2 linked regions of the Cricetulus griseus genome follow. The protein of the gene in region 2 binds, or shares a complex with, the protein of the main gene of each other region. Links are inferred from orthologs where the notes say so. Each region holds a gene or a part of one and is shown on either strand. Other genes may lie near its edges.

What was found. The genes of interacting proteins can lie anywhere in the genome.
Region 1: Sart1 (region 2) and Prpf4 share a complex: the UniProt entries of both Homo sapiens proteins name them as parts of the U4/U6-U5 tri-snRNP complex. The link is inferred for Cricetulus griseus from reciprocal best matches to the Homo sapiens genes SART1 and PRPF4.

The regions. Positions count from the first base shown.
Region 1 is NC_048595.1:83,449,565-83,453,595, forward strand, and holds part of Prpf4 (U4/U6 small nuclear ribonucleoprotein Prp4), read right to left. Parts: intron 3,622-4,031; coding exon 3,498-3,621; intron 2,170-3,497; coding exon 2,080-2,169; intron 25-2,079; coding exon 1-24. UniProt on the Homo sapiens protein: Plays a role in pre-mRNA splicing as component of the U4/U6-U5 tri-snRNP complex that is involved in spliceosome assembly, and as component of the precatalytic spliceosome (spliceosome B complex).
Region 2 is NC_048596.1:53,945,337-53,950,109, reverse strand, and holds the start of Sart1 (U4/U6.U5 tri-snRNP-associated protein 1), read right to left. Parts: upstream 3,047-4,773; 5' UTR 2,971-3,046; coding exon 2,658-2,970; intron 516-2,657; coding exon 458-515; intron 99-457; coding exon 43-98; intron 1-42. UniProt on the Homo sapiens protein: Plays a role in mRNA splicing as a component of the U4/U6-U5 tri-snRNP, one of the building blocks of the spliceosome. May also bind to DNA.

The sequences.
Region 1 (4,031 bases), on a different chromosome or scaffold from region 2:
CATAAGCGCCATGAACGGTCGTAACTTAAAAACAAATAAAATAAACTATACCAACAATCAACAGCAGACTGAGTCAGTCTACTATATACAAGGTACTATAAATATCATTCAGTCATACTAACAAGAAATTCCTTTCTGGCATAAACAATGCCTCACCATTCAAGCCTGTATGTCTTAGTGACAACTGGGAGACCAAGAACATTTTGTACTTTGCTTTAGCAGGTATTTTCAAAAAGAATTCCCTGGTTTGGGGTTTGGGCTCAATAGTAGGGGGCAGGGCTTGCCTCGTATGTGCAGGGCCCTGGGTTCAACCACCAGCACAAACAAAAACAAAATTCTTAAAGAACAGTTTGGCAAAGACTGCATTTTTTTTTCCTCTCCTCATTCTATTGTTATATCCCTTCATCCATCAAGCAAGCATTTGTATATTTATTGGGCATAAAAAAAAATTCAGATGGACAAATAGAGCAGATACAGAAAAAGACCCAAATATATATGATCAGCTTTCATTAGGGTGCTAAAACAATTTTAATAGAAATCTTCAATGATGGCAACAAACAGGCTATGGCGGTACAAATACAGAAAAAAATAAACTCAAGAAGGGCAAAGCACATGGCAAAATACTCAACAGCAACAGCTGTCAGGGCAGTTAACACTAATATAAGGTTTACTATGTGCCAGCTACAATGGGTGAGATAAAAGACCAACACAGCAAACATTGACAAAGATATGAAATAGACTCAGTTGTTCACATGTTTTTATTCTGGGGAATGGGGTCCTACTATGAAGCCCAGGCTGGCTTCAAACTCAAGATCCCCCTGCTGGGTTCAGGCACTGGGTTCAGGCACTGAACCCAGCTTGCCTGAATGTTTTTAGAAAGCTAAATATACATTTACTCTATGAACTAGCAACTGTACTCCTTAGTATTTACCCAAGAGAAAGGGGGGAAAAAAAACCCAACCCCAAACAATATAAAACGCTCCAATAAGAATATTTAATTAGTCAGGGATAGAGAGATGGCTTAGTGGTTAAGAGCATGGGCTGCTCTTCCAGAGGACCCAGGTCTGAGTCCTAGCACCCACATGACAGCTCACAACCTTGTGCAACTCTAATTCTAGATGATCCAATGCACCTTCTCAGCTTCTGGGCATGAAGCACATAGACACACATTAAAAGACAAGAGAATATTTATAGTGGCTTTATCTTGACTAGCCACAACCCAGAAACATGCCCATGTGTCCATCAATAGGAGAACGCATAAACTGGAACAGACACACAATAGACTACACTCAGCTTAATAGCACAAATGGGTATAAACAGGCAGAACGAACAAATCAAGTCAGCGGCTGCTCTGGAAGGGGAGAGTGAGAAGGGGCTCGAAGAGAGCTCTGCTGGCTGAGAGAGACTACTGGTAAGGGCGTGGGTCATAAGCAGTAGGCACTTGTACAATAAAACCACCCCATTCTATTGTACGTTACTCAAACCTCAAAGAAAAAAGTTTTAGTAGAACTAAGCCTCACTAAACTTACAGAACCAGAAAAAGAAGTCAAGGTGTTGGCACAGAGAAATTTTATATATTAGTGTTTCTATTTTACTTATTATTATTTTTTTTTTTTTCAAAACAGGGTCTCTGTGTAGCCCTAGCTGTCTTGAGCTTCCCTTTAGATCATGCTGGCCTTGAACTTACAGAGATCCACCTGTCTCTGCCCTGAGTGCTGGGATTAAAAAGTGTCTGCCACACTGCCCAGCTCTATTTTATTTTTTAAAAAGGTCTTGCTATGTAGCTCAGGCTGGCCCTAAGCTTGTGATCTTCTTGCTTTAGCCTGCTGAGTGTTAGGATTGTAGGTTTGTGCCATCACACCTAGCTGAGAGAGATTTCAATATAACGTGTAGCACACTCAGTAAGATTTAAAAGGAAATATATTTAAAAATATTTGACTTTTTTTCTGATTCTATTACTTAAGTTTGAGAAAGTTCTAATCAAGATCCTTGCTCTAAATATTTACCTGGCAGATAACTGAAAAGGATTATCAAAACCAACAGGCTTGTACACAAACTGGACACTAATGGATGGCTTACCAGGTCGTGCCCAGGAAACGCCCTGATGGATGCCACATTACCCGAGCCACACGAACCGTATGGCCTTCAATATCTGCCACTGGTTCATCACTGAAAGGAACCAAATATATTCAGGGGTTAAACACCTTGACAGCCATGAACAACCCTCTCAGTTTATTTGCTGCTGTGCAGGTACGCCCACTCTGTAGTTTGTACACAAGTATCACCATGCACTTTCTACACTGAGCAGCACAGGGGGCTGACTGCACCCTGCACAAGGTTCTGTGCTAACTTTGTTACTGTACCTACAATGTGTTACAATCTTAGGGATAACAATCATTTAAGCTACTTGTTAAGGTTCTGAAACATGGAGGATTATTTCTTCAACCACAACGCAAAGTGATCACTATTTTAATTCAGTGCGTTAATAAATTCTCCACGATGAGCAAAATAGTTCCACTGCTTCAAAATAGTGCATGGATTCAAAAAAGAAAATATACTTTGGTAGAGGTGTGGATACTGAAATCAGTTTTGGTCCAATGGGTTCCGGACTTATTTAACCGTTATCCCGTTCAAAGATCCAAATTAAAAAAGAACTCCTAAGCTAGAATGACTCAGTGTCCTCTGGATGGCCAATAATTTCTGCTACCTAGCAACAACACAAAGGCTGAAACTCTAGAGAGAGGAAATAAACATGAGCCTAAACAGGGCAATTAGAAGGGAGTGCTGTCAATGAGTACACACAGACCCAACCAGGGCCCTATGGGGATAAGTGTTGCTAAATATTACGAAAGCCAATTAAAACTTGCCATGCTACTAGCTGAGACCCTATCTGGCAAAGATTGTAGATGCTAATTAGTGCTTTGGAAAATTTTGTAATAAAAACCTTGCTATGCTTTCTCTAGGAAAGAAAAATGGACATTCAAAAAGTCTTTCAGATCACAGTATGTTTCCAAAATTGAGAAGACAAGTAAAAACATCCATATGAAGAAAGAAAACGTGCTGTGGTTGTAAAATACACTGGTAAAGGATACCAGTGGCCTGTACTGCCAGATAGAACCTCACTTTTCCTCTCCTCTGTGGCCATGTGCATAGATCCAAGAGGCTGCCAAGATGATTATCTTTAGCCCATCCACAAAACTTCGTTTTGCTAATGCTAACCTACCATGTAGATTAAACTGGGTTGTTTTAGAATGGGAGCTGGGAATCAGTGACTTATTATGCTAAAGGCAAAAACTGAGGACTAAAAGTAAGCAAGGAAAGAAAATCCCAGTATAACTTCTTTGAACAGAAAAGGTCTAAGAAAGACATCTTCTATTTTCAGTGAGTTCCCTGGACTCTTGAAGCATGTCTGGGGTTAAATATCCCATTTTCAAACCTAAAGGGCTAGCCAACCACTTTCTTTAGGGATGGCACTGTGGACTGCAGAAGGGAATCACCTGTCCAGACTCCAAAGCTTCACAGAACCATCAGCAGCACAAGAAGCCAAGTTGACATCCTTTTGGTCCAATGAGACAGTAGATTTAGGATGGAACACAATTGCTCCTACATTTGTGTTATGGCCTAAAGAGTTAAAGGAGAGCAGAGTTAGAGGGTTCTTACCTCTTCATAATCTATGAGCAAACAGAGACTATATGAAGAACACAGAAAAGTACATACTAGGGAATGTGAGCAGGCAGAATTAAAGTGACTAGTTAACTACTAACCCCCCCAAAAAACAAACAAACAAACAAAAAAACACATTTAGTTATTTTTGAGACAGGGTGTCTTTATGTAGTTCTGGCTGGCCTGAAACTTGCTTTGCAGACCAGGCTGACTTTGAATTTACAAAGATCTATCTACCTCTGCCTCCTGAGTGATGAGATTAAGGTGTGTCCACCATACCCAGCTATTTATTTATTTTAAAATTATGTATGTGTGTGTGAGAATGTGCACATGAACACAGGTGCTATGGAGGTCATTAGAGCCAGAAT
Region 2 (4,773 bases):
TTAGATGCCCCAGCTCAGCCCTCTCCTCAACTTTATACTCACCTTTCTTGACAGCATTGACCTCCAAGGGTTTCAGCCCCAACTTTGCACGGAGTTTGCTGAAGACAAGAGATAGAAGTATTAGGGTCTACCTTAAGAAATGTGATAACAAGTACATTTATGGAGGTGAAAACAAGGTGAGAATGAGTGGTTCTAGGGTAATAAGTACAGCCCCTAATCCTGGCAGCTTAGGGCATGAAGAAGACACAGGCTTCCAGAACAGGCTTCCTGACTGGGGAAGACTATCCTTCCTCTTGGGTCTCAGTTTCTTCCACGTAGCTCCTATGGTTGGCAGTATGACTCATCTGGCCATTCCAATTCTAACTGGCTTCATTTAGATTGAAAAAGTTTCTATAGGTAACAGCCCCAGGTGCAACCAGTCTCAGAGGAAAATCAAAACAGCATAAGGGCTACTCACTTGGTCTCCTCGATGCTAAGTGACGAGGCATCTCCAGAGCTAGTTTTGGAGCTGGCAGCTAGAACAATAAGGAGCACGGCTTAAGGAACCCATGAACATGGGACCAAGAAGCAACATCATGGTCTTCAGTTGCAAGGTCGAAGACAAGGGCCCCCACCAGCACCTGGGTAGATGACACCAGAAAACAGCAGCCTTCTTCCCCCAGGGTTCCCTGCAGCTGCTACCCAGGCCCTTATCTTTTTTCTGCATCCCTCACTGTGCCACTCCAAATCTCCACACTCTACCTTCAGCCTCCACAGTCCCTTCTGCTCTTGTTCTCATAAAGTTCTATCAAAAGAGCAAGTATCATCTCCTCCATGAAGCCCTGCTCAATTACTGACCAGAATTAAAACTCTGCCTAGAACGGCACAGCACTGCTTGTCATTTCTGGCACTTTCTGCCCACAGCAGTGTATGGAATACTTACTAGTGTGTGTTCCATGCCAGATGCTATGGACATAGGAAAGGAAGCACTCTGGACCTGATCTATCCACCCCACAAACAGGAGAGAACTTCAATAAACACTATACAGAGGAAGATGCCACCAGGATGCCCAAGTCCCCTGTCACACACTACTCACTGCTCTTTAAACCCTTCCTCCTCCACCTAGGCTCTGGACCCCATTTTCTATATGAACTCTCAAGTCTCAAGTCTCCCTTTTTCCAATTAGCAGATTATTAAAAAAAAAAAAAAAGTTTCAATTTAGGGGCTGGGGAGATGTCTCAGTGGATAAGAGCACTTGCTGTTCTTACAGAGGACCCAGGTTTGGTTCCCATAATCTATATGGCATCTCACAACCACCTAACTCATTTTCAGGGGATCCAATGTCCTCCTCTGAACCTCCACAGGCACTAGGAATGCACCAAGTGCATATTCACATATGGAGGTAAAACACTCAAATGCATAAAATGAAAACAACCCTTTGTTTACAAGTTCTGGTTCTGCATAATGCCCTGTGGTGTGTGATGCTCTTAACCACTCTGTCTTTTCAACAATCATCTCTTTGTACAGATCCTATGACCCAACTGTAGTGTTCTTGCCATTTGGCTACTCTTTATTTTTTAAGTATGTTTCTCTGCCCACAATTGAGCTATTGGCATTTACTAAGTTCTATTTCTGATCCTAGTTCTCACTCCACACACTCTAGGGCACTTTGGATTCCTGAATACACACTAGCCTCAAATCACTCTATCCCACTTAAACTGTAGGTTTTCCCATACACACTGACCAAAGCTCTCCCAAACTGGGTCATTCTCCCTTGCCTCAAATCTGCTAGTCTTCTAAACACCAACTTCAACAGATGAAAACCATTCACCAGGCGGGTAAGGTCAAAACTCCAGGAGGCATTCCCTGTTCCTCATCCCTCCCATCCCCTTAGCCCACGCACTAAATTTTGTTCATTGCACTTCCTAAACACCTATTCAATCTTTCCAGTCTCTCCACCCTACTGCATGGAGAAACATGCATACTCACTGTTAGTCCTCACCTGGTTGGGTTGACCTCCCTCCTAATCTCAGGGTCTGTAGTCCTATTTTTGACAAGCTCTCAACCCAGAGATCCTTTTTTTTTTTTTTTTTTTTTTTTGTTTTTCGAGACAGGGTTTCTCTGTGTAGCTTTGGAGCCTATCCTGGCAGTCACTCTGGAGACCAGGCTGGCCTCGAACTCACAGAGATCTGCCTGCCTCTGCCTCCCGAGTGCTGGCATTAAAGGCGTGCGCCACCAATGCCCAGCTCAATCCAGTGTGATCTTAACATATGAAGTAAATCAACCCACTTCCCTACTCAAATCCTCGACTCCCTACCGTCTTCATCACAAAGCCCAAATTTCTCAACAGAGCTTACAGCACAGGGTCCTTGGTGTTCAGACCCAAGCGTATCTTACTGCTTCATGACGATTCCACCTACTGTCAGGTTTCTCTTGCCTCTGTCTGTGCATGCTCGCACCTCCTCCTTTCGCCCACCCACCGCATTTACTGTCAAGTGCCAGACGGGAAGGGGAAACGCAAGACCCCGGTCCTTCCGAAGCTTAACATGGGGAGTCAGTCTTTAGTCCCCAACAGCCGGAGCAAGTCTTCAGCCCGAGAGGCACAGGCCCTGGCGGTCACCCTGCACCCTCCGTCCCGCGCACCCCAGGCCCCTGCCCCGCCCCCGCCCCGCCCTCACCGGCCTCGTAGCCGTCATCGCGTTTCTCTCGCTTCACGCGCCGCTCCGAGGGCTCCGCTTGACTTCGTTCGCGACCGTGCGCGCCGCCGCGGGCCTCGGCTTCGGCCCCGCGCCTCCCGCTCCCGCGCTCGCCCCCACGCTCGCGGCTCCGCTTCCGTCGTTCGCCGCCGCTGCTGCCGCCGCCGCTGCTGCGATGTTTGTGTTTCTTGTGCTCTCGATGCCGCGGCGGCTGCTCGGTGGCGCCCCCGGTACCGGCCGCCGCCGTCGTCCCCGCCGCCTCCTTCTCCCCGCGGTGCTTCTTTGACGACCCCATGACTAGTGCGTCCGTCTGGAGCCGGGCCGCCACCCGAGCCCAGACGACGCAAAATGGGAATACTTCCGGGTCGTGCGGCCGCCGCTGCGCTGTTGCCGGAAACTAAGAGCGGCTGCTTCCGGGGCCGGCCTGGGAACCTCCAGAGGCTCATGGGAGGGACGGGTTGAGACTGCGCATTCCCGGCTCCCGGGGACTGGCTCTGCGCATGTGCACCTGTAGAGGCTACGGGGTCGGCATTGGCTCTCCCGGGTTAGAACTGTAACAGCTTTGGAATCGTGCTAAAAGCCACCGTCTGCGGAGCTGGGAGCTCTTTCCCTGACCTTTCCACTCCGAGAGCCTCGTGGCGCTCTGTGCCTCAAGCCTCTTCGTGGGCGTCCCCTCCTCCAGTGATTGTCCTTCTCGTAGGCTCCCCGGGGCCGGGGATCCGTCCGGGGTTGGAAGATACCGCATGTTTTCTTCTTGAAGAAACCAGCTGCAAAGCCCCAGACTTGCAACCCCAATAAACCACTGTTGCCAGCGAATGCTACCGTCGCCCACTTTCCCTGGATTGGTAGATTGGGTCTTTTTAACCTGAGCTCTGGACTGCTACGGAACACTATGAATTTGTGCCTGTGAACCCCGTGAAATTGAGTGCTGTTTTTGTTTCTAATTTTCTTTTTAAGATAGGGTCTATATAGGTCTGGTTGGCCTAGTGCTTGTTACGTAGCCCTGGCAGGTCTCGAACCCTCTGGTTCAGCCTCCCGTGTGCTGCGAGTGGCCGGGATTTCAGGCATGCTCGCCCAAGCCAGGCTCAAGTGCAAATTGGGCAGATCCGTTTTTCTTTTGCCTGCCTGCCTTCCTTCCTCCCTTCCTTCTTCCCTCCCTCCCTCCCCCCCCCTCTCTCTTTCCTTCCTCTGTCCCGTTAACTATGTGGCCTCAGTCCGGGATTACAGGCACAAGCCACAATGCCTTGCTTTCCCAGCCTTTTCTCTCTTCCTGGGCTTTTTTATTTGGTTGATTGCTTGTTTGGTTTGGTTGTTTTGTTTTGGTCTTGAGGAGATGAGCTTTAAAGTTAAGGATTCACACACTCCCTTCTGCTACTAGTTGCTCCTCTGTGGGTTTCCTGTGTAGCACACCTCGGCGTGTTTTGGTATGGTTTTCCTGCTCCTTTACGGCTCTGCTCTACTACTGAGTCTTCAGAGGTGGACCTGTTCACTAGCATTTCTAGGTGTCCCACTCAGTAGCAGAGACAGCATGTGTTTGCCGAGGAAGGGGTGCAGCCAGGGTTCCCAGAATATGTGGGAAGTAGCTAAGTCCAGGCCACCCACTTACCACTGCCCCCCCCCCGCCCCACAATGCATAACCAACTCCCGTCAGAAGTCTCACACCATACTTGCCATAAGCATTTAATTTTTATCTCAGGGACTGTGCTGGGTTCAGGGTCGGGGAGGAGAGTCTTCCAGACTGATGGCTGGTGGCTTCTATCTTTGGGGGGTTCTGAAAAGAGTGCTCCATTTCTACTCCAAATGACCGGTGGCTCCTTAAAAACACAGATGGAGGCCATTGGGCTACAGCACCCACCTCCATGCCCAATGCAGCCTTTTACCCTGTGGGTCCCTGGGAAGTGACACTCTACTGAAATCTAGGGGTTTTGTTTTGTTTTTTCTGTGAAGATAATTCCTGCTGTATACCAGGTTATTTATTCTAAGGTGTCAGGAACAGTATCCATAGGGTGACAGTATGGTACCAGCTGCTTGGCCTATCTTGCTCAGAGTGCCAGACTAGCTTTACTGCTTACTTGTTCCTGTGTCCTCAGGTAAAGTC